2 linked regions of the Oryzias latipes genome follow. The protein of the gene in region 1 purifies or fractionates together with the protein of each later gene. This does not show direct contact. Links are inferred from orthologs where the notes say so. Each region holds a gene or a part of one and is shown on either strand. Other genes may lie near its edges. The genes, in order: sorbs3 and wasl.

Region 1 (13,004 bases):
TTTCTTAAAAAGCAAACATTTTAAATACATCTTATATTTTAATTCTTGTTTTGTCAGTTAGAAGAGAAAGTTAAAGATTTATTTGGGCCAAAGAAGCTAAAAAACAGTCAATCTTCAGTGGGAGTTGACTTTTTCTGTCTTGTGAGGTCATCTCTATGATGCACTAGAATGTTCAGGAGGAGACATTCCTGAAATAAATTTGACAACAGCTATTGTTTGTTTCATCTTTGCAGTTCCAGGAATAAGATCAGTATAGTTAGGTGTGTCACAAGGTTCGTAAGGCACACTTAACTTGTTGTAGTGATTAACCTGACAAAAGATTTAAATAGTTCGGCAAATAGTCATAAAGGTTTTCTTGGAATTCCTTTATACTGCAGTGGGATGGACAACAGCAATTTTTCTTAGATCATGGCAGCACTGGATAAAGAAAATTTCCAAGTTGGTTGCAGCAGTGAGCAGGAATGAACTTTTGGTTCTCTTAAAACCGGTTTCAACACATAAGTCTCGTCTTGTCAGACCCTTGTTTTTCCGAAATTTTGGAGTGACACTAAATGTGGATAATCAGTCAGTGGAGGCCAGGCTGAGATCTGAAAGAAAAGAGAGCAGCAGATAAGGCTGCCTGAAAAACAACCCATATCTCTTGTATGCTAGTTGTCTCAAGCAACAAATGAAGGTTTAAAAACTTGCTTTGTGACATTTTTGTGGAACTGAATCCTCTCTTACTTCTATTTATAGAACTCCACAAATAAAATTCTTCTTTTTTTCCTCAACAGTTGGCTCAGTGGTAACAAATAAGTGCAGCCGTCACTGCCTCGGACTTCTGACCTTCCACAGTTGGGCTACTGGAGACCGGATCCACCTGAGCCCGGATGGTCTGCAGGCTGAAAGGATAGGGGACACGTTCAGAGATGGCCTAGTGTTCACTAGCCGGCCAGTAAGGGTCCAGGAGAGAGTTCATGTTCGAGTGCAGAAGGAAGAACTGTTTAAATGGCAGGGAGCCATGCGGATCGGCTTCACCAGCGTGCCACCTTCAGACAGATCTTTGCCTCTGCCCAGGATGGCCATCCCAAATCTGACCCAAAAGCCGGGCCACTGGGCTGCTCCTGTGCCTGAGTCCCAGTGTTCTGCAGGTTCAGAGCTGGTGTTCTGGGTCTCTGCTGGTGGAAACATATATGTAGAATGCGGCAACACGCGGGACAAACTTCTTTCAGGAGTGGACCTCGGTCAGCCCCTCTGGGCCATGATAGATATCTACGGACAGACACGCTCCATATTTCTGCTTGGTATGTTTATCACATTCACAATGTATCTCCTCTTTGTCTTATTCTCTATTCAAATTCATGATCATGGATCATGGTCTTTCTGTCCCTGACCTTTGCTGTGACCTCCCTGCTGCAGGCTCTGAGATGAAGAGATTGTTTTATAGAAGAAAGTCCTGCACTGTTCCTGTACCTGAGCTTCCCATCTCACCCAATGACAGCTGTCATTTGAATGCTAACGCTTCAACATCAAGATACGGTGATGAGTGCGTCTCCAACCTTGAAATGGACATGTCAGCAGGTAAAAAGAGTCACTGTAGCGGTTCTTTTTTTATTTAGCACAGTGAAGTCTGTCTGTGTGATGCCAGGAATATAACCTTGATTCTTGTCTTCTGGTTCCAGATGAAACATGTGTGGTGTGCATGCAGAGAACAGTCGAAAGTGCCTTGCCCTGTGGCCACAAGTGTTTGTGTTACCAATGCACTTCCAGAGTCTTGCTGCAGTTTGGAACCTGCCCGCTGTGCCGAGAGGACATCAGGTCTCTGTTAATAGAGTGGAGGGGGGTGTCTGGCTGAGCCTTGAAATGCTATTCCACCTGAAATAATCCCTGAACTGTTTTTGTAATTGTAGTGAGGAAAATGAAAAGTGGCTGACGTGAATTGTTGAAGCCACAGAATCTGACACTCCAGAAACACTTACATTTTATAAAAACCTTGTGAGACAAAGAAAATGTATTATGAAGCTGACACCAGTCCCAATGAGCATAAATGTATTTTGTAAAATGTAAATTGAAAAATGTCATTCTTTTGCACTTTCTTTGTAATCTCTAGATAAAGAAGAGGAGCCAAAATATCTGTTGCTGACAAAGACATGAGCGTTTATTGTGTATAAGAATTTGTTTTATATGTTTTTTACACATATTTTTAACTGTAATTTCTTTTTACATGTTTCTACTTTGTAAAAAAAAAAGTCACTTGTCTGGAAGAATGTCAAAGATAAGGAAAGATATAAAGACGTTCTGACTTTTATTCTTGTTGATGTGTCTGATGTGATCCTGAGATATGTATCTAAATAAGCGGAGTGTTTGGTTTCCCAGCACTGTCGTGAATCTAAAAATGACTCATTTTTCAAAGGAGTAGACATATTTTGTTTAAAATGCAGAAGCCGATGCAGTAGATTGTGTAATCTGAAACTGGTTATGGGTGTGTTTTACGCTGCTGGAAAGATACCAGAGAGTGGAGATGTTTCTTGCACAACTGAAAAACGTGCAACCTGCAAATCATTGCTGTGGTTAAATAGAAAACAAAACTTATTAGTTAATAAATGATCTGCAGTATTTTTTAAGACTTTAATATAAATTAAACATTTAGTGTACTTGATTATGTATCCGCATCTCCTCTGTTCGTCATCTGGATCCATGCTCACCTGTTCTGTCTTTAATGCAACAGCTCTGGTATAATTGTCCACACAAATCAGTGGTATTATTAAATGATTTGTCTGTTGTAAATGATTAACATGGCAAAGGAGTGAATGAAGCAAAATGCTGGCAAGTGTTTTTGTAGTTTAACCTTAAAAGCCCAAACATTGCTGATGCAGGAAAAACTAAAATCCATCTGCATCAAGAAGCACGTTTGTTCCTATTGCTTCTACAGAAAATAACTGGTTGCTCCTAAAGTCCCACTCCGATCATCTTGTGATCTATTTTAAAAGCATTCCCAGTGGTCTTGTAGTTATGATTTTGCCATTTTTTTAGCCACAAAAAGCAAAACAATCATTTTTCAGGACATCATTTCTGCAGTAGTTCGTTAGAAATTCACCTGTGAGTTGTGAGCTGGACTGTTGTAGTGGCCTTCCCATTGTATTTTCCACATAACGTAACATATTTCAATCTGCATTTTTTTCATGTACTCCTGCTTCATAACCATTTAAGTAAAAATATACTCATGAAAGCAATTTTATTCTAAATTTTTTAATGTCCTTCACCATAAGCAAAATGCTTCAAGAAAAAGTTAAAAACAGCAAAAACACCAATTTCATTGGAGTGGGTCTAAAGCAGTAAAACATAAACTTTCTGTTGGATAGGTATTCATTAATTTTCCCTCCCTGGGACATTATTCTGAGGACATCTGTGGAGAAATCTGTTTTGTATAAAAAATGTGGTCATAATCTGATGCCTCCAAGTAATTTTTTTCTTGGTTCTATTTTCGTTAAACATTGTCCAACATTATTTTTTGTTTTTTTTTAGAAAACAATGGACTAATTTGACTTGAATTTGGATTCATGCTTCTTTTTTTAAACTTTTTGTTTTGTTTTGGTTTAGATGAGTCTTCAACTCTGGGAACATCTGTCAGTTCTGCTCACATGTAAAAGCACAAACCCAGCAGTGCCCTTTATAACCACTGAGGGGCAGCATATTTCCATTTATTATGAGAAAAACCAATAACTCCCTAAATAGAGATTTACTTCTTAAAACTCTTTGAGTTCAAGACAGTGAAACCGAGGCTTGTTGCAGGTATCAATATTATTTTTTAGATAGTTTAGAAATAAATCTTTAGATACCTTGACATCCATTTAAAAAAATTATATTTGAAGGGAAAAAAAATACAACTGTTTATTTGTAATTACACTTGTGTGATCTTTGACTCCAAGTATGCATTAATATTATATATATATTGTAATTATATTATTATATTATATATTAATATATATATAGTATATATTATATATACGCATGTAACATTTCCGACTCACTACGGTGAAGTTCTGGATTGTTGTCTTGACATGTGGATGGACTCTAGACAAAAGACTGAAGGTGTGACCTTTGGTTTGTGATCTCACAGCCTACCTGTTAAATATTTATCTTGGATGGCAGAACTGCACTGCTTTTGATCACAAAGTGAAGGAATCTACCAAACATATGTTTCTGGGGATAAGAAACCGTGGGAATAAACATGTAAATCCAGTCAGAATCTTGCAGCTTCACTGCTCTAGAATCAGATCCATGGCACTACTTCTTATGGTTGAACTGTCGTATTTTTCAGATTTTAGGAAGGTAAGTAGATTTAGTTCTGGAAGCCTTATGTTCTCTTGCATGTGTGTGAGGTAGTCAGCCTGTATGCGTCTGCATTTATGTCTGTGAGAAACAGGTGAAGCGCGTTGACTTAACCCCTTGGTTCACATAAAAAGCTGCCCAGACTGCCTTTTGTGTGAGGAACAAATGTATCAGACCCATCTGATGATAACAGCAGACAGTAAACAGACTGAACTGCTGCACAACATGAGTTACCCATGCTTCTTCTCTGAAAAGAAAAATCGACTTTTGCACCTAGAACACTGACAAGCTGTTCTGCTTAGCTCATGACTGGATGGGAATCTATTATTTCCAGCTGTGGATGGAAACTATTACGGAGCCCTGTCTCCCTGATGAGCGTTAAAGTGAATGGTCGCAAAACAAACACATGCCAGCACGCCTACAGACAGGCAGGGAAAGATTCAGGCCCACGCTGAATCATTCACTATAGATAAAAGCCACCCTGTTGTCCTCAGACTGAAAAGGGAGGGAACGGAGCGAGTGGGGAGAAGTGGTGGTTCCCTCCTCCTTCTGGATTCAGTTCCTCTCTTCTTTTGTGCCGAGAAGATCTGACTGCGCAGCCTGTAAGTACTGTACTACTTGTGCCTCCTGTTCTGACTGTGAGATGAGAGCAGCGTGGGTGACGAGGAAGTAAAAGTTGACAGTGCAGAAAGATTTTTCAGAACTTTGGGATTGTTTAAACAGGAGTTTCAGTTTGCCGGAGGAACATTTATGAATGAAGACACTTGATATTTACAGGGGTTTTTTCATCACTTCAAAATTATTGTACTTTTTTTTTTTTTACAGCTGATAACAGTGATGGTTCTCCCCAAACTTTGAGCTGTCAGATTTTATTCTGATTAACTTTCTGGAAAACTTAAGTCTTTTTTCTAGATACGATAGTTAAATTTAAAGTCCCGAACCGAAATAAGCTGTTTTAGTGCCAGGATAACCCAGATTACTTTGTGTTTGTTCTCAGGAGACATTCCCACATGTGACACTTCACGACAAGTAGTTCTTATCTCAAGCCTCCATGTTTCTGATGATACCTTTAACCTGTAGAGTTGTACTGTCTCTCTCATGTTAACTGATGATAACTGGATTTTTAGACTTTTTTAGTGCGGTTGTCTTTCTTCTTTCAGAAAAAGTCAAATATAAAAATCACGCTAATAAAAACCCAGAAAAACCTGTAACTTTGGTTTCAAGATGATGTAGTTTTTCATTGCATAATCCACTTATGTCATGGTAAATTCTCTCCCTGGAATCTTTGGCTGTTATCCTTTTAATGAGGCTCTGCAGTGTACTGGCATTATGTGAAAGGGCAGTGGTTGGTCTTTACAGCGCAATAAAGATCTGCTGGAAACTTTCCACAACAGTGGGGAATCACGTAGGAAAAGAGCATACCTTGCCTCCTTTTCTGGCTTATTTTTCTACAAGAAATAGGTGTTTTTTGTCTGGATTGGGTGAAGGAAAGATGTTTGGTTGTGGCTTTACCCAGTTGTTTGTACGATTACCTCATTTAACAACAGAATAATATAATGACAGAAGTGCAACCAGGAAGGAAAAAGTCTGTTCCTGCATGGCACTAATTAAGAACTAAGGCTCCTGAAAGGAGCCTGGGTAATGCTTTAAGTTTGGGAGCTCCACCGTTTGGCCAAAAACAACCCAGAGAGCAGTACAGGCTCAGTGAATGAGCTGCTGCCCCCAGGTTTTATAGCCAGACCGCTGAATTATTAAACAGAGCAGAGGCCTTAAGTTTCAGGAGGAAAGTGGCTTGCATGAAGATGTTAAAACAAATATGCAGATTGACTGAAAGTTTGAGTGAGACCATTCAGGCCGGCAGAGAATTGGAGCCGTCACTATTTGTGGAATTTGTAGCTCAGTCTACCTGTGGCAGGCTGTTAGGCAGGAATTGCATGGAAGCAGAATGCATGTATGCATTTTGTCCTTTTGGGGGTTTACCTGCATTGTGATTTGATCAAGAACGACACACGAATTTGACTGAAGTATTCATCTGAATTTGAATAATTGTCCTTTGCACTGCTAAGATATCTATCACGTGTCAAATTATTTTCTCCACATGTTTGTATGTATGAAGGAAAGAAAAACAGTAGTTAAAAGGCTCAGTCCACAATATGCAAACACATTCTTTATGTAAAATAATCACAGAAAAGATAATTAGGAGGAGACATCATGGAGTCGCCTGGCTGTGTTCGGGCAGCAGAGGTGATGAACTGTTTGTGTTCCCCTTTGGTTAACCCTGTGCTGTGAATTATCTCCTTATCACAACAATGGGGCTGTTTCACTGAAGGAGGTGCCCCTGAACTGACAAGCCAAGTGCAGGGTGCCTTTTAAACGCAGGTTGAAAGGGGTTGTCATGGTAATACTTGTCAACCGGGAAGTCTTTCTCGGAGGCAGGCGGTGTGAGGGTTGGGTGTCTGAGAGGCGACCTGGCCAGTTTCAGCAGTCAGAAAAGGGAAACTTCAGGGCCGACAGAGGTGATTCCATGCCCCACTCAGTCAGGGGGAAGGTTTTTATCAGCCCCAGCGGGAAGGTGAGGGGACTCGTAAAGAAAGGGAGCACAATCGAGAGCAGAGAAACTCAGGTATGGCTGTTTAGCAAGTGTGTTGAGTAACCAGTCTGACTGCTCAGGTGTACACAGTGTTTACCTTGTTTTAAATGCTGCAGAAAGTATGTATCTTTACAAAGAATCTAACAGCAAAATGAAGCCTTTAATCTATGGAAGTTCAGTGTTGCAACACCACTGTTTACTGACTAAGCAAGTGGAATAATGCATGCATCCAAGCATGAACACACAGAGTACACTGAGGGCAATGTTTCTAAATATCTGTTCAGGGGCTATGTGTACACCAGGTGAGATCAACATGTCACTCAGCCGTGTTGCTTCCCTCATTCTGAAAAGGAGCTCAATGACTGGACTGTCCAGACCCCCCTGACTGTCAGGGAGATTTCCACAGCTGGCTCAGACTCCCTTTGTCACGTTTCTGTGGGTCCAACTGCCTACAGTCAGCTTTAAAAATGCAAGATGACAGGCAGGAAGATTTGGGAAATTTTTTTTCTCTTACCCGCACCTACTTTCTTATGCTTTGACGGTATATTGAACACATTGAAGAAAATAATTGAATTTCTTTTATGTTGTTGATGAGAATAATCAACTTCGACTCTGAGCTTGGGTCCTCTTGAGGGGAAAAAAGGCTGGGATTTACTGGCCTGAAGCTTCTGCTGGAACGTACTGAACTCTCCATTGATATGAAACACGCACAGACTCCTCCTGTTGTCTAGGCTGGTGGAGCACCATACAAGGAGGTGAAATACTTCCCTCCGTGATAAATGTGTATATCCCCCTCAATCACTGATTATCATAAACCTGCTGCTGCAGGACCTTGTATGGACTCTGTCCACACATCTGCTCCGCATGCTTGTGTGATCATCCTGACACAGCTAACCTCTCACATAGCAGCATGCTGACTCACATAATGTGTCCATAAAATGTCTGTTTTATTCACTCAAACTGCTTGTAACTGGCACCTCAGCACTTTTAAAGCCATGATTTCTTTGGTTTTATTGGCTGCTTATGTAATTTGTTGAGCAGCTGTAATGTAATGTTTATCGGGAAATGATTGGACATGACTGCTTTGTCACCACAAGATCATCAGATGTATTAATATCCAGGAGAGCAGCACATCATGAATCAAAGCCGTTTAATGCTTTGTGGAGATCATGAAATGTGGAAATTATGTTTATGTTAAAGAAACCTTGACCTCATGCTCCTCAACAGCTCCCATGTTGTGAAACAGAGGATGTGCCAACGACTAGAAATCAAATCTTTCTCCTTGAGAAAAAGAGATCCTTCCCTTGACCACAAATAACAACTTTCCTGGATGACAACCACAAAAGTTCAAGGGTCAACCCTCCCCGTGTTCTTGTTGAAGAATGTATTGTTACCTTGACAGAGTTGTCAGTGTGAAGAGCAATGCAAGCTCCCCTTCTGTGTGGAGGAAGTCCCTTAAGAAGACCTGTCACGTCCTTCTTATGAAGATGAAGAAATCTTAGGATTTATGAGTATATACATGACACCCGTTTTCCTTTTGCAGTATAGTACAACATCTGTCTAAGTCGGATTTTGTCTGAGTATAATTCATTCAGCTATTCATTGAGCTTCTTGTAGCTTTAAAGTCTCACAACATCTTTTGCTCTTTTGTAATAGTGTTTCCAGTGGTCTCTTAATTACGATTAAGCCATTTTTAGCCAAAATCAAAAAATCCTGTGTCGTTGTCCAGCAAACAGTTTCTGCAGAGCGGCAGGAGTTAATCAGAAATTCACCTCTGAGTTGTGGGCGGGACCGTGGATGTGGTAGCAAGCCCTCGCCCTTCCCATCATCCATCCGTTTACTCACTTTCCCTCTAGTTTACAGCCTTTCACACCCCCAACCTAACATTACAGTTGCAACAAAAATGGCGAGCAAATTGAAGCTATCCAGCCGAACAGTTCTGAGCAAGATGTCAGTTCAGACGAGGAAAACAAAGAAGTACATAGATCTATTTGTCTGCAAGTGGATGCACACAATGGAGCAGAACAGGGGGCTTGTTGCTCACCATAGATTCTATGGACTCTAGAAGGTAACTATATCACACTTACAAGTTTTATGTAACAACATTTTCTCTCTCCTGGAAAATTCACAATGATTTGATTAAAGAAACACGATTTTAATCTTAATTTTATTTATATATGTCCTCCATCTCAACAAAAATGGCAAAAGAACGGGTTAAAAACAGCAAAAACCCAATTTTGATTGGAGTGGGTCTTTTAAGATGATCTGGTCTCCTCAGCATCTTTCAAACATGATGTCATCTGCCAACTTTTCGTACAGCATAGAGGGAAAATATGAGTATGATCAACTAAAATAACTTATTTCTAGGTTCTTTTTATAATCACTGGTGTCATCTTGAAAACTGGAGGTAAGGGGACGGTGTAGCTGCCAGGGTCCAAAGCCAGATTTAGCAAGGCCCCCATGTTAACCTGTCACAGATGGGGCACTGGTTTTGTGACAACAAACTTAACTAGCAAGAGTGCTATGATGTCCAAGTTATGATGGAGTTTTCCATAGGGAAACAAACTGATCAGCTCATCTCTTTATTTTCTGTTCCTGAGAGCCAAACCAAGGCAGGACTGTGGAGACACGTACACTACAGTGTCTGTCATCTCAGTGCCTCCAGGACTTTTTGATAATTGCTGTGCTTAAAAAATATTTACTGTAGTTTGCGACAGTCTTTCCAAAAAATGTTGATATTTTTCAATAATAAATTCCAGTTCACGGCTGTGGGAGGACATTAAAGCTGCTGTTTTTCCCCTGCATTTATACAATTCCTAATTAAATGGTGATTTATTTTAAAATCAAGCTTATTTTTGTCATATTGTGCAATAGCACCTATAAAACTTGAACAATTACTTAATAGGGACATGCTTTGTAACATTTTCCCCAACAAATAGACAGCATTAAACTCATATTGAAATACTACATTTTTACCATGTTATGAATTATTTTAGTCTTGTTAAAAAAAATTTTTGGCGAGGAAAAACAATCAAGTGAAATGTGACCATTGGCCACCCAGCCTTAATTTAGGAATTCTTAAATTGAATCTGAAAATTCAACACAGAATTATTGCAAAACAGCTGTTTCAGTTAGAAAGATCACTTGAACCAAACACTTCTTTTTAGACATGAGCAAATATCCTTAAATGGTACATTTAGTGATTTGTTTACACAGCTTTATCAGCAAATCATTAGGTCTTTCATCAACTTATCTCAGTGTTGTGTTGCAGCAAAGTTGTAGTGATTGAACAAACTTGTGTAGAGAAAAATGTTTGGAAATTGGATGATAAAAGATAAAGGGGAAATTCATGGCTTCTCATTTGCAAAAAAATCCAATAAAATATGTCAACTGGATCTCTTTAGATTCTCTCTTAGGATTGATGATTGGAGCTGACCAGGAACTCTCCATCTACCCAGGTTTTCAGGGAAAAGGAGATAAAAGTCTTTTTAAAAGCATTTTTTAAATCAGGTTCTTCCCTTTTCCCAGTCCAGTCAGTGCAACCACAGATTTGCCTGTGGCCATCGCTCAGCAATTTTGGTAAAGTTGTTGTTCACCTTCCGACATATCTCTTCAGGGGTTGCCACAGCAAATCAGCTTTCACTTATTCACTCAACCCTGTATTTTATCTGGGATTGGGACGTACGCATGGGGGGCCCAGACTAGTGCTCCCTGGTTACTACAAGTGCCTTGCTTAATTTTGGCATGGGTGAAACTCTGCAGGTTTTATCCTGGGACTTTGGTCAGAGGTCTATGTCACTAATCTCAATGACAGAAAAGAAAAGAATCAAAGTCCTAACTCAGACTTGGTTCAAATTCAATGAGACTTAAGGAGACCTGTATATGTATGGAAATGCCTCCACAGCTATATGAACACATTTTTAATCAAAGTCAGATTTAAGCAAGAGGAAAGAGGAAATTCAAACTAAAACTTTCTCTTGTTAAACCTGAATCTACAATTCACAGAGTGGACTTGGAGTGCCTTACTTACACACATTTGCACAACTTTAAATCTGCAAAATCACTTAAAATAAGCATGTTTGTCATCAGCTTCATCAATTGTTGTTTTGTAATCCCTGTATTTCCAGTCTAACTGACAAATGTTACAGTGACAGATCAGTGCAGAATCATGTTTTCTCTTTTTACTGTCTATTATTTTAAGTTTCAACAACAATTTCTAAGAGAGATGACTTTAACTGTGTTTTGTTTAATTTGAAGTGGTCTACATACATTTTTGTCTCAGCACCCCGCAGTTTGGATTTCCTGTTGTTTTCTAGCTTTAACTTATTTTTGGATCAGTTAATATTTGCCTCTTTCCCTGGAGATATTCTTTGAACTTCCTGGGGACAGACAAAAATAAAATCCAAGTCAAAATCCGTCGATTCCTATGTTAGACATCCTCAGTTGCATTCTGCCATGCTGAGTTTATGTCACCACGTGTAAAGCAGCAAACAAAACCTGTCAGTTCAGCATTGTGAAAGCATCTCCAAAGGAGGATATCAACTCTAGAATGAAGGTGAATTACTTTTTAAGGTCATGCTTTCCTTTCCCCAAATGTGACGGGGTGCAGGCCTGCAGAAAGAAACGTGCTTCACAGAGACAGCATCCAGGAGCTTCTAAAAGCAAATCTTTATGTGGAAGCTCAGAGCTGCCTTCTGTGTTGAGGCTCAGCAATTACATAAGAGCGCACTGAGCATGAAAAACAAACCAACAAAGAACCAAACTTTTGGAGTGGGCTTTCCTTTGCTAACCATCAACAGAGGATTTGCCTTATTAGGTTAGACTGTGATTGAAGCTTTTAGTGTGGAGTAGATGAGTAGATCTTTTTGATTTGGTTCTGCTGTGATATGACACAGAGTTACTGTAATGGTATGGCTTAAGTCATGGAAAAAATTCTTGGAAAAAGGAGACTTTTTTTCCTTTCAATGCTTCAAAAAATTAAACAAACCTCAAAGGTTTACGCCTTCAATCCATCCATTTTCTATACCCTTCTGGGCTGTGGAGGTGCTGGAAACCGTCCCAGCTGTCAGGGAGTGAGGGAGGGACAGCCGTACACAGGATGGTTATTCATTATTAGACCATGCAGGGACAAACAGCATAAAGAAAAGCATGTATTCTAGCATATCTATGTTTGAACTGCCTCACTGGTTGTGTTTTGTTCTTCTGATGGAAATCTTTAAATGCCTCACTTGATCAGGTAACTTTAGATTAGATTATAAGAACCTTTACGTTGGCTACATGAATATTTCCAAATTGGTTTAGTCTTAAACAGTTCAGTGTTGTGTTATTGTGGATTAAAAAATGGAAGTTTCGGCAAAAAAAACGTGTAAAAAGAAAACTTGTTGTAAAATATTTGTTTTGTTTTTGGAGTTAACTTGTGTAAAATAATAGATCCTTTGTTTTCCCTAAAAGGAAAATGACAAATAACTCTAGTTTTATGGTAATCACCTTGAGCCCACTTCTAGTGAAAAGTTTCCTGCTCAGATGAGATCAGATGGAAATGCAGATCAGCAAGTCAAACAGTGCGAAAGCAGTTTGTTAACATTGCCTCTGATCAATGACTCATCATCTGGATGTGATCCTGGTGCTCAACCATCTGTCATGGACGGCCATTAATTAGATTGTTGTCACAATTCCCCATCTCTTTTTCCTGTTTCGTAACACAGATTTTCTGACTATTCAGATGACTGACACTGTTGTCTGGTTACTGAATCATTGATGCTGTCAGTGCTTGGGCTTTATACTGCATACAGAGACAGAAAACAGAAGTTGAGGGGTTTTCAGCAGAGGTTTTAGTAGTCTTCAGCAAATTCCTCCTGGAAAACTCATTAAAGGATTTGCTATTATTCCAGAAACGCTTTTCCCCACATTTGGTTGTTGCTTTTTTATTTTTATTTTTTGTCATGGATTTGCTCAGTTGTTTATATTGGTATAAGGTTGGAATCAGTTGCCAACTTCCTAAAGATGTTTTGGTTTCAGGGTTTTCGGATGCTTGGTTTCTATTGTAAGGTAGCCTTTCATAAACACACACACATATTTCAGCGCACTTTTGATGTTGAAACAG
Region 2 (12,764 bases), on another chromosome or scaffold:
AACTTGTTTAAGTATTTGCATCCATTACTTTTTATTATTAAAATCCATTTCCAATTTAGTGCTTTACACGCCAGATGTCAAAAAGAAGTTTTTTTCCACACACAAAAGTTGTAAATCTTGTCTTTTTTTTTTATGAGATCAAAGCTGAGGAAAAAGGGAAGGTACCAGTTCTCCTCTGTCTTCTTCCCATCAGTTCTGACACGCTGCCTCTGAAACGCTTTGCTTCCTCCTCGTTGGCAAAGTTTAAGCCCACTTGACACGTCTGTCAGAAAGCACATGCGGGAAAATGTATACAGAACTGTTCACTAGTTCCGATCAGTCCTGTCTGCTATTCTTCTGTGTCACACACATACTTTGGACATTTTTGCAGTAGTTCTGAACTATTATTTCATGGAAATAACATTTATGTTCTTGAAAATTCCATTAGTAAATTAAAAAAAAGATATTAAAATTTGGTAACAAAAATGTTCTAAATACTAGATTAATCTTATTTTATTTTAGGACAGTTGAAGGATATGAAACAACTATATTTAATGTCTACAACCCACAAAAGAGTTTGATTTCTCTAACTGCGGTTTTACGAAAAGAAGGGAAGTATTTGTCCACAGAAATGTGCATTTAGAAAACTGGATTTTTCTTTCCGAACGGAGAACTCACATCTCCAGCAAATGTTGCAAAATAAGTCCTGGGCATCTGCATCTTGAAGTCTTGGTATAATTCCTGTTCGTACATCATTCTGCCATCCTGTCATCAAGAAACAAACGAGACAACCACATTTATTAACCAACAAATCTAACTGGATCTAACAGTTGCTGAAGCTTTTAATGCTAAATATTTGGATTGTTTGACTATAAAATGTGCTTTTACTAGTCTTTAAGTAAAAGTGAAGATTGACTTGAAGCTACCTTGATGTCAAAGACTCTGATGAAGTATGAACGTTGGGGGTTGTCTTTGACCAGACAGGCCACCCCGCAGCATCTCTTGTTCCAGCTGCCATTCCTATCACCTGTGTACACCTGGACCACAGCTGAAGACAGTGTCTGCAGAGGACAAGAAACAGAAAAACCAGCAGTTAAAATTTCAACATTTATGGAGACACTTTGTTTTTTATTCACAACCTTTGCAGAAAATAAACTAAAAGAAACTATATGGAAAAAAAAAATCACTCTAAAAGCTAATTCTTGTTTTCCAGACCCTATAGCACCCTCTTGTGGTAAATATCTGTAACTGCAATGCAGCGATAAAGGACATTTAAACAAGAATTATTGCTAAACATCTTCATTAAATAGATACAACATTTTCCTATAAATACCATCAATGTCTCAGACCCAGCCTACCAATCATTTTATATAACAAGACTTAAAAGATTAAAAAAAATTTAGGATTTTGGACTTAAAGGATTACCAGTGAGCAAAAGAGTCCGACTTCATCAATTGGACTGACTGTAAGGGGCATCTTCAGCTTTCTAGCCTTTCCTTAGGAAATTTGTATTTGTTTAGTATTTCATCTGCTCTCATTGATCTTAGTTTGTATCCCATTAAACCTTATTGATGTAATATAGATTAGGGTGTAATAGATTATATGTAAAAGAAAAATTGGTGAATTTGATGTTCAAATAAAACCTTGGGAAAAATGTCTTTCAGTATTCAGGGTCACCTTTACATGTGTGTAAATTATTATAGAAATGTTTGTTCAAAAATGAAAAGTTGTCCAAATAGGAGCAAAAATAGAAAAGAAAAGTCTGTGTGATTTTATGCTAATATACATGTTTAAATTGTAAAAAATGTGCATTTGTGCTTTGCATCTTTATTTTTGACTGAGTCAAAGTAGCATTTCTGCAACCAATGTTTCTCCACTCTGCTGAGAATCATTGCTAAAATATTACAATTTAATTCATAAACATTTGATTTGTGATGAGAAATGACAATTAAATGTAAACTTTGTAGCAAAAAAAAAAGTTGTTAATGTGGGAAAGGGGACCACCAAGAAACTAAAAGGCCTCCTAAAAGCAGTTTACAGTACATACACGAAAACATAAAGATTGAAAACTATACATTTATTTATAAATCTTAACTGCACTATTAAATCACATGACCACTAGCAAACACGTGTCATTTACAAAAAGCCTGAGTAGCAACACTTCCACATACACGGATCAGCTATGGCACACCGAGACAAGATCATAAGGCCAGATTAGACTCCTGCAGTTTTACCACGCTGCTGCAGGAGTTCCTTCCCACCGGGAAGTCCAGCATCACCGCTGCAGAGTAACACATGAAAGCCGGGGCATCAAGGGAAAAGCCTTGTGGGCCCTTTCAACCGAACCCAGTTCCAGGAATTACAGCCTAGCTCAACAGGATTCATGGTAGCCGTGCACAGCAGGGACCCTTTGTAGTTTAGTGTAAATTGGATGTTGAGGTGAGCAAAAACAGGAAGAAAAACAATCTGCTGCAGTACTGTGAGGATTAATGACCCACTCTGGTGAAAACTGTGTTTTTTCACATGTTCTTTTGCCGTTTTTCTGATGATGGAGGACATATTTGAAGAAAATTGAGCTCTTTAAATTCTTTATTTAAATTGCTGTGAAGCGGGAGGAAAAAATGCAGTTGGAAAATTATGGTATTTGTGACGTAGAAAATATGCTGCACGGGTCAAAAGCTTTTTCTGGACTTCCTTCTAATCAAGAGAGCTTTGATTTAAGCATTTATAGTGAAAAAGCAGACATTTGCACTAATATCCCAATGACAACATGTTCTGAACTATGTGTCACACCTGAAGCAGTTCTGTTGATTTTGACATTTTATTTCATCAAGGTAACATTTTTACAGTTTGGTCAAACAGATTCTGATTTCATGCTTATAAAATCACATAATAAATCCTGCTTTTTGCTGCATCTTAGCATGACGGCTTTCAAGCTTGAACTCTGATCTGCTCATGAAGCTCTGATTTCTCCAGATAGGATGGGAAACTGTGGTTTCTGTCAAAAACTAAGAGTATTTCTCAAATGTAATTGTTGTGACTCTCAGCTTGGAGTTTCTACCTGCAAGACGCCTGATGTTGCGTTCACTGACCCGGTGCAAACACTGTTCACACCAACATATCTTTTTTTTAGTCAGTAGGTTAGGTAATATGTGCACTTATGTGAAACTCCAATGGTTTTATGTGAAACTTACGGTGGCATATTCTGATTTTTATTTGAAATCTTCCAGAGTTATGGCTTTTTATGCTTTAATCTGATGAATCAAAAGGCACGTAAACAAAGCAGTCGGGATGAACAGGGAGGAACACCCTAATATTTTAGTTCAGGAGTTAAATAAAATCTGAATTTAACAAAATTATCCCTCTACTTTTAATAGTTTGTTAAAAAAAAAAAGAAAACCATTTCATTAAAACTTTATGATCATAATTTTGAATCCATCTTTCCAAAAGACACTAAACTTGCAGTACACGAGAAAAAACAAACAAAAGGAGATCAGCTGGAGTAAAATTCAAAGCCTCACCACATTTCTGTTGAGATCAACCTTTGAAGAGAAAAACTAGTTTGCCGACCTGCCTGAAAATTCTAAACTTGAGAAACGTGTAAAGCAAAAACAGGATGACACGGACTACCTAGCTGAAATAAAAAGCACAAAATCCTGTGGTTTCTCAATGACATTTGTTCAAAAAAATATTGTTTGATCTACAAGAGGAACTAAACCACAGCATCACCAAGTTTAACCTCTCTGTCCCATCATATTAAGCATCATACATTCAGTTTTTACTTAGTTTCTGTCTATTTGGAACCGATTAAAATAATCATAAATGAAGGCATATTAATAAACAACTGTATGCAATGTTTTGGATGGAGTTTGACTATTTGAGTCCAAACCCCTTTTTCAAATTTAACTTAAAACGATAGTCTTTTTTGAGAGAATCGCTGCCGATATTCTGCAATTGTTTGTGTTCAATAATATTAATTATTTTACGTTTAAAACTGTTTATGAAAATTCTTACTTTCCCATGTAACCCACAAAAACAAAACATAAAAGTAAAATAATATATAGGTTTATATAGTTTACAGTTGCTCAGGCCATCCAAGAGTTTAAACATCTGAATTGGTCAAAGATGGGATCTTAACAACAGATCCAGACCATAAATGGGTAGTGATTCACTTGAATGGAGATGATTTAACAGATTGGAAAAAAAAGTGCATCTTTTTAACCTGGACACTTCACTAATAATTAGATTTTAAAGGCTTTAAAATCCCACTTCAATCATCTTAAGATCTATTGTAAAAGTGTTCCCTCTATTCTATAACGTATGATGATGCAGTTTTAGTCAAAAAACAAAAAAACTTTTCATTTTCTAGGACATAGTTTCTGCAGAGCGGCAGGAGTTCATTAGAAATTCGCCTCAGAGTTGTGGTGAAGAGCAACACCGCCCCCCCTTCCCGCCACCCATAACAGAGCTCTCCGTTTGCGTGCTTTCCCGCCGTCTTACAGCCCCTCACATCCCCAACCGGTGCAAGAAAATTGGCGAGCAGTATCGAAGCTATCCAGACCCACAGTCTGGAGCCAGTGGCTAGTTCAGACGAGGAAAACAAAGACGTACATGCATCCATTTGTCTGCTAGTGGATGCTTTAGCAAAGCGAGCTTAAGGCCCGCCAAGTGTACATCACGCATAACCCTTTTTTTAATTTTAAGCTTAATTTTCACAATGTTCTAATACATCAGAAAACTGCCACAAAAAAATGTTAAAACACCAAAAACACAATTTTCATCATAGTGGGTCTTTAGATGTAAAGTCTAATGAAAGAAGGGATTAAAACAAGCCAACAGGTCCAATAAAAACAGAAAAAGAAAATGCAAAAGAACGTCTAAAGGAGAGATCCAACTGGAAGAAAAAGATTCAGCAAATAATCGGAACAACTGAAAATGAAGATTAAAAAGGAGAAACTCTCTGGAAGAGGAGAGAAGTGAAGGAAAAGGAGAGTCACGTCCATTTCGTCCAGCACAAATCACCAGAGGAGGTCGACCACAGGACTTCCTTCCTGTAGGACATGACTGCTGATCAGGCAGTGTGTGTGCACGTACGCGCACACACACGGATGAAGACTCGATGTGTGAACTGGACACATTCCATCTTTCACCAAGCAAGACAGAGCTGCTGACGCTCAAGGGAGCACAAGGAATACCAATGAAGGAAACCTGTCTGTGGCATCTGCGGCTGCCTCGTGTCAATGACACTATCGTTTCACCAGCCGAAATTCAATAATGATTCATAATCCAGCATTTCCATTTAGTGCATTTTTTTGGGTATTTCCTATCAAGATTCTAAAACAAAAAGCAAAAACACTGGCGAGTGTTGGCTACTTAGATGCATTCCGTCTTCCTTTATCATGGTATATTTTTCTGTCTCCTGTCCATGAGACCCTGTGTACACAAGGCACAAAGGTGGGGAATGCTCCTGCGTACACGTCTGTGTCACATGACGTAAAATCCCACTGACAGGATGCCAGAAGAATACAGTCATGAGGTTTTTAAACAGGTTGCAGATCTGCAGGACACGCCTCAGAGCTGCGTTTGCTCAGATAAAGGTGGAAGCCGGGCGGCTCTCGTACAGGTTTGACCGTGTGAATCCTGAAAACAGGAAATGCGGCCTTCCCAAAGCAAACTTCTGTTCGTACGAGCACCTCAGAGGTTTCAATTATGGCGGATTTGCTGGGTTATACGACTATGTGGAAGTAACTCAATACACTAAAATCCCTGCGAAGCAGCAATAAAACCACAAAGTTAAGACTTTAAGAAATGACCCTGCATCATCATAAAAGAAACAAAGACAGACGCAGCAACTAGACTTGCTCTTATCAATATGAAACCGGTTTCTAAAAACAAGACTAATCTAAAAAGGAAATCAATAACAAGCGAGGGTGTAGCATACTTTCTGGCAGATAAAGCTTGGGTGACATTTGTCAGGTTTGACAAAACTGCTCAGCAGTTATTGTATGCTAAAGTGCCCCCCCACCCCCCAAGCCGCAAAGAGTCTTGTTGGCAGGTACTTTTAATATTCCTAACAACTTCCAGCACTGCTGCCAGCATCATTCAGCACCTGACCTTAGAGCAGATCTGCAGAGGGGTTTATTGCAGCAAGACATTGACCGCAATGCACAACCCAATGACAAGCCCAGAAGAGAAAACTACTGTGCATTTTCAATATTCAAATATGTATGAAAAACAACATGTGCCCTTAATAACTATGCCCTTTCAATAAAAAAATCTAGGATTGTGGTGTTGTTTTACAGGCAAAAATTATTCTGTTTAACCAACCCTGGTTTATTTTTAAGGACCCACTCAGATGATGTTTTTGGTGTTTTTAGCATGTTCTTGTAGCCTCTCTCATACGTTGGAGGACACATGTGTTAGGAAAGTTAAGTTTAAAATTGCATTACTGAACATCTATTCAAATTGTTGTGAATGCGGAGAGGATGCAAAAATGCGGTTTAAAAAAAGCCTGTAGATTTGATGTAGACCACAAGCTCCCCGCTCTGCTCCATTCTGATGCATCCACTTGCAGACAATTAGATCCAGATATGTCTTTGTTTTCCACGTCTGAGCTGGCATCTGGCTCCAAACTGTGCGACTGGATAGCTCCTATATTACTTGCCATTTTTGTTTCACCGCCAATGTTAGGTTGGGGGTTTTTGCTTGCAGGAAAGTGTGTAAACAAATGGATGACGGGAAGGGAGGGTGGACTTACTCTGCTTCAACAGTCTCGCCCACAACTCAGAGGTAAATTAACTACTGCTGTTCCGCAAAACTTTTTTAAATTTAGGCTAAAAACAGCATAATCATACGTAAAAATCCGCTGGGAGCACTTTAAAAATAGATCAAAAGATGATCGAAGTGAGACTTTTAAGTAAATGCACATTACAAATAAAAATATTGTAGTTAAAAATCTGTCTTCTCTGGGATTTGCAAAAATTGTTAATGTAAAGTGCCAGCATGAGAATGGTGGCATGGAAAAAGAAGGGAAAAAAAAGGAGGGATGGGTTGATTAAGATTAGTGTTTTAAAGAAAAAGAAAAAAGTCATTACATCCATCAAAAGCCAAAAATTAAAAATTAAAAGCCGCAAATGGTGTACTTCAGAGGATTATGAGAGAAGGTGGGACTTCCACCAAAAAAATCAAAAGATAAAAAATCTGCTGAAGGCTAAATGTCTTACGCAATAAAGCAGATTCTGTCACTTTCTGACGCCATGGGAATGGAACTACAGACCTCCGCCGCAGTCACACCTGAAGAAGGGGACGACTCCTTCCGCTTAGCTCATCACATTTGGTGACTGGCCCGTTTTGCTTTGCTTTTTTAATGTATTTTAAAGCTTAAGCTAGTCAGCTGGGTTCTAAGCCATGTGTCTGGGTTGGCACATTCTTTTTGGTGGCACACTTCCCGAAAACATGAAGGCTGAGTCACGTTATATATTAATGTCAACGGAAAAAAAGGAGAGGAAAAACGGGGGGAAATGTCGCAGATGGATTTTTAACTGCTTTAACACCCCGATAAGTCAAACACGACTCAATCAATGCTAGGCTACTGTTAGCATAAATTCTGGATGACTTAGTTAGGTGGGTCGAGCTCTAGACTTAAATGTGACCAAGCATTTATCACGCCAGGAATGAAACTACGTTTCCCATGTGTCCTCTCTAATCAATAAAAAGGTTTAAACGCACTCGCGGACGCGCTGGCTGTCAAAACAAACTAGCCTGTAAATCTCAAATGCCTCAACTGTGTGCGCATAAACATGTAGGAGATTGAACCGCAGGCCACAAACACATCCCGGTTGAACACTATCCCCTGTTCCCGGGACAGGAAACGTTTTGCAAGTTAGCAATGTTAGCTAGTTTTTGTTAGCAAGCTATCGTTCAGAAATCAATTTTATTGATGAAATATAAAACAATACTTACGGTGCATTTTCTACCAAGGTAGTTGAAAAGGCAGTCGTTTTCCTGACTGGTCAGGAGAATTGAACCCGCATTAATGGGCCGCCGTGGCTGTGAAAGTCCACTCATCGTGAGAGATCAATTGATTAACTAAGTATGCACTGAGTTTACTCGTTAAATACGAGACCCCAAAAGACACATAAACAATTCCTCTCGGTCATGGGTGGCCTTCGTCCTCCGGACCCCTCGCACCGGTTGGGATTGGTCCTGCGTTTCCGCAAAGCGACGTTGCCAAAGATGGTTGCTGGTTAGGAATGTAAAGCAAAGTCCCGTAGCTCCTCCAAATAAGATCAAATTGGGAACAACCGAGAGAAGGCGGAACACTGCAGAAACTTTCTTGGGCAGTCAAGCCGTCAGAGAGCCCTAAACCAGCTCCATCCAACATGGCAGTTAGGACGACTCCATTGTTCTTGAAAAGGGGGGAACGTTCACCTAACGCGTCCCAAATAGACCTTGAAAAATATTTTAAACATAAAAATAATACTTAAAACAATTATTTAAAGATCTATAGCGTATACATTTATTTCAATGGGAATTCCATTTATTATTTATTGCCAAAGAAATCTATTGTTTTTGCTTGTTATCCGTAAAGATGGTACAATCCAATCTGCCCCTGGCTTTTATGACAGGAATGTGAGTACTGGGAATGGGAGGCAGTAAGGAATAAGGTTCAGTCAGCAAAGATAAGATTTTTTTTTCCGTATGAGCAGCTACTGGATTAGGGATTATCAGGAAACTAATCCCACATTTTAAATGAACTCTTTGGGATTTAATAGGCATTCGCTAAGAACCAAAAAGGTTACCATTTTCTTTTAAAGATAACAAAACTCCTAAAAGTCATAGGTCAAGTTAGGTTTTAGATTCATTTCTAAAAGGTTATTAACATTCATTTAAAATAGAAGACCTTCCTGAACTGTGCCACACAGCTAGACTGAACTGGTAAATAAAGCAAGGGAAAATTAAATGCGCTCCATTTCTTTAACATCACCTAAGGGTTCAAGCTGACATGTGCGCAAAAATAACTTAATATTTTTAGTAAGGCTCTTTTTTATTTATTATTTTCTGAACAGTTTTCTATTTTACAAATCAAAGCATACTCTGGGCATAAGAAATTAAAGTGAAGATGTGATAAGAAACAACAAATATTTGTCAGATATGTAGTAAAAAATTAGAAAATAAAAAAAAAAGATGATTACTTAAGCAGATAATTGGGTGCAGCAAAACGTGGATTTGAACAATAGCTCTCCTGCCTGCCTGGCGTACTACATTTTTTTCAAGCTCAATCGCTTTAGGGAGATTACCCCCACTTTGCCATATGCTCAGTCAAACAGGTTGTTCTACTAACACAAATAAATTCTTCTGTTTTGTGTCACACTTTACCACGCGTCGATCCTTTTATCACAGAAATTCTAATTAAAGATAGCTTGAAAAAGTAGAAATAGCTATTATTAGCTCAAATAAGTTTATGTAACCACCACCTCAAAGTCACACTTCTTGATGTGTTTCTTTCTATGTAAGAATATGTAGGAGTATGTTGAAAAACTAGCTCATTTGAAATCCTTTTAGTACTGATTTGCAGGCTTTTATCATTTGACGTAAGCACAGGCTCCTCATTTGCCTATTTTGATAAAGCTCAAGCAAAAAAAAGGTAATTTTTCAAACCCTTCTTTATTTAAATCAATTTTCTTAAAAGCTCACAAAATTAGAATAAAAAAATGCAAAACACCTGATTATTTGTCACGAAATCTTATTAAAACTGGCAGTCATTTTTGTAAAACTTCTAACTATGAAACTGCTTTCTGCGTGTCTGCTCCTGTCTGCAGTGTTACACAATGGCGCGGTTATATTCCAGCTGAAACTGCACGATGACTTTGTCTCACTCTTAAGTTCTGGGTGGGACGGAGTGAGAGCACGTCTGTTTGCAGCTCCTGCCTGTGTATATGTATACAAGTACACGTGGTTGTCTGTGTGTGCACAGCAGCAGAGGTCATCCAGATTGTACACGGTGCTCAGGCAGATTCACAGTGTCTTAAATTACAACCAGCTTTGCAATCCTATTTGTATGAATTCATAAACATGGTTCATTTTTCTGAATACAGGATTCATTTTTCTGTTCCTAATTTAAAGGCAACCTCTCACCGAGTTTTTAGGAAATTTTTGCTTCTGCATATTCTGACTACAGTTTTTCAATTCTGCCTTCTGACTCGTGCTCAAACCTTTCTCTGCTCTTGTCGAGCTTGAAAAACCAGAGAGTCAGAAGAAGAAACACCTGAGGAAACGCTGCATGGCTCCGCCCACCTTCATTTTTGTAAGTATCACAATGATTCAGGCAGATGAAGTGGTACAAACGTGTCTATTTCAAAGCCTCTTTCAGCGCTAAAGAGTAAAAGCTAAAGTTTTGTCATCAGTCATCAAACTTTATTGACAAACTTTATTCACATAGTTGCCTCTTTACAAGCGAGTAAAAAGAAAACACTGGAAAAGGAGAAAATATTTAAAACACAATCATACATCACAGCTCAAAGTATCATGAATCACAAGACTCAGTCTTTAAATAGCTTAAAAATAATAAAATAAAAATTCAAATGAAGAAGTGCAAAAGAAACCTGATAAAAAAAAAAAAATTTAAGCAAAGGGTAAAAATAGTGAAGCTGCAAAGATGAATAAAACAAAGTTAATTTACAAATGCAGCAAAAGTAAAAAACAATGCGATGATTAAAAAAAATCTAAGCTGTAGCCTTAATAAATATTAATTAAAAGGGAAAGTCGTTGAACAAATATTATCATACTTTATTATATATTTATATTATTTTATTACTTAAAATATATATAACATTATATATGTGTAAACTTCTTAACACCATTCAGGCATATTAGGAAGTGCATTTATGTTTCATGGACTGTGTCATGTATTTAAAATGTCCAATGTTGTCAAAAGTTTACAAAGTCTTCCTAGTCCTTACAGCCACAGATGTGTTTACGTGGACTGTACGTTCACAAAACTCCTTAAAGCTGATAATGCAACAAAGCAAACAAAAGCTACATGTCTTCACAGAATTGAAATGTGGAAATGTAAAAACAAAAAAAACCCACACAATTCACTGTGGTTTTTTTTGTGATACTGAATACAAACACTTGTTGTATTTCCACAATAACAATAGAGATTGTTGTCTGTGCAACAACACACAGTTGACGCAACAGTTGTTACGTCATCCCGACTACATGACGTGCAGGCAGATGCTTTTGTGGTGTGGACATAAACCCTTGTTTGAGGTAAAATATGCATAAGTGAGTGCTAGCATATTGTTTGCTTTTGCTTTCAACCGACTTTTTTTTTTCAGCAAAAAAAAAAAAAAAAAAAGTTCCAAAGACAAGGCAAAAATGAAACATGAATATTAAAATTTGGAGTCTCGTGGAACAAACCTCCCTTAGGCCTCTTTATGAATGTGTAATCATACTGAGAAACAATGTGGGTTTTTTGGGAGGGAAAATGTCACAACTGGGTCATTTAAACAGGCCAGCATCTCCCGGCATTTTCCTTTATGGGAAACATTACACCATTGAGGATTGCACAGTAGCGATTATACAGGCTCATTCACAAAGACATCACAAAAGAAAAAAAAAGAACCAGACAGCTGACATTACCATTAGAGGCGGTGGAAAATTCCCTCACACATACTCCTGACCTTACTTTTGATAACATACATGTCTCTACTTGATTTTCATTGCAAAGTGTACTGCAAGAAAGAGCCCCTTAAATAAGCAAATTTAGTTTTAAGTTGGAAAAAATTACTTAAAATAAGCAAGAAATTTAATTTAAAAAAAAACGATCTCACCACTAATTTGTATTCTAAAATCAAATTCTAGTCACTAAGACATGTTTTCTCTAAATAAGATTATTTTCGTATTGAAGAACCTTCTTGATAACCTAATTTTTCTTGAGATACAAATAATAAAATGATATTTCTTAAAAACAAAGGTCTTTTTACTTTAGCAGTTTGTGCAGTGTGATAATAGAAAAACCAACCCTAAAAACAATTTAAGACTGGGGCATACCTGTCATTTAGTAGTGTTTTTCTGTGTTCATATATATTGTAAAACTGGTTATTGTTATAGTCATGTGAAACTTCTAAACCACTCCTCTCGGTCGGTAAAACCTTATGAGATTATTTACTGTGTCTGCTGTGCACTGCCACTTTTAAACCACAAGATGGCAGCACTGCATTAGATTTAAAATCAATGATGCCTTTTCAGTGCCACTCAGTTATATTTGACCCCATTTTTTGCAAAATAGTGCAAGAATTAGATGATCAAATTGCTGATTGATCCATGTCACACAAACAAAAAGAGCATCTTCACTCGATTTGAAGATATTTCCATTAAAGAAAAGAAAAATCTGTATTTCTGTATTTCTAATCTAATCTAATCTAATCTAATCTAATCTAATCTAATCTAATCTAATCTAATCTAATCTAATCTAATCTAATCTAATCTAATCTAATCTAAAGCATATGTGAATTTTTACGTCAGATACTGCTAGATTTTATTTTTATTTTTTGTAAATAATCTTGAAGAAAGAAATGTAAGGCTTGAAACATTTTAGAAACAATAAGAAAGTCGTATAATGTCCAGATTCTTTTGTAACTCATTCTGTATAATGACAAGTTAGTTAGTTATTTAGTTAGCAATTTAGTCACACAAAAACTAGCTCATAACCTCCAACTCAGATATTCTTTTCTCCTTTTCTGTAGAACAAACTTACTGTTGTGAGGATGCATCCTTTTGAT

Evidence for each region.
Region 2: the proteins of sorbs3 (region 1) and wasl purify together in Homo sapiens (co-immunoprecipitation; 3 studies listed by BioGRID and IntAct, with this or other methods). This does not show direct contact. The link is inferred for Oryzias latipes from reciprocal best matches to the Homo sapiens genes SORBS3 and WASL.

The regions. Positions count from the first base shown.
Region 1 is NC_019867.2:17,338,577-17,351,580, reverse strand, and holds the start of sorbs3 (vinexin), read left to right. Parts: upstream 1-4,791; 5' UTR 4,792-4,913; intron 4,914-13,004. Other genes in the region: protein neuralized-like, read left to right, coding at 774-1,283, 1,399-1,560, 1,662-1,834. UniProt on the Homo sapiens protein: Vinexin alpha isoform promotes up-regulation of actin stress fiber formation. Vinexin beta isoform plays a role in cell spreading and enhances the activation of JNK/SAPK in response to EGF stimulation by using its third SH3 domain.
Region 2 is NC_019881.2:13,539,481-13,552,244, reverse strand, and holds the start of wasl (neural Wiskott-Aldrich syndrome protein), read right to left. Parts: upstream 8,377-12,764; 5' UTR 8,047-8,376; coding exon 7,942-8,046; intron 1,041-7,941; coding exon 906-1,040; intron 745-905; coding exon 658-744; intron 263-657; coding exon 166-262; intron 1-165. UniProt on the Homo sapiens protein: Regulates actin polymerization by stimulating the actin-nucleating activity of the Arp2/3 complex. Involved in various processes, such as mitosis and cytokinesis, via its role in the regulation of actin polymerization.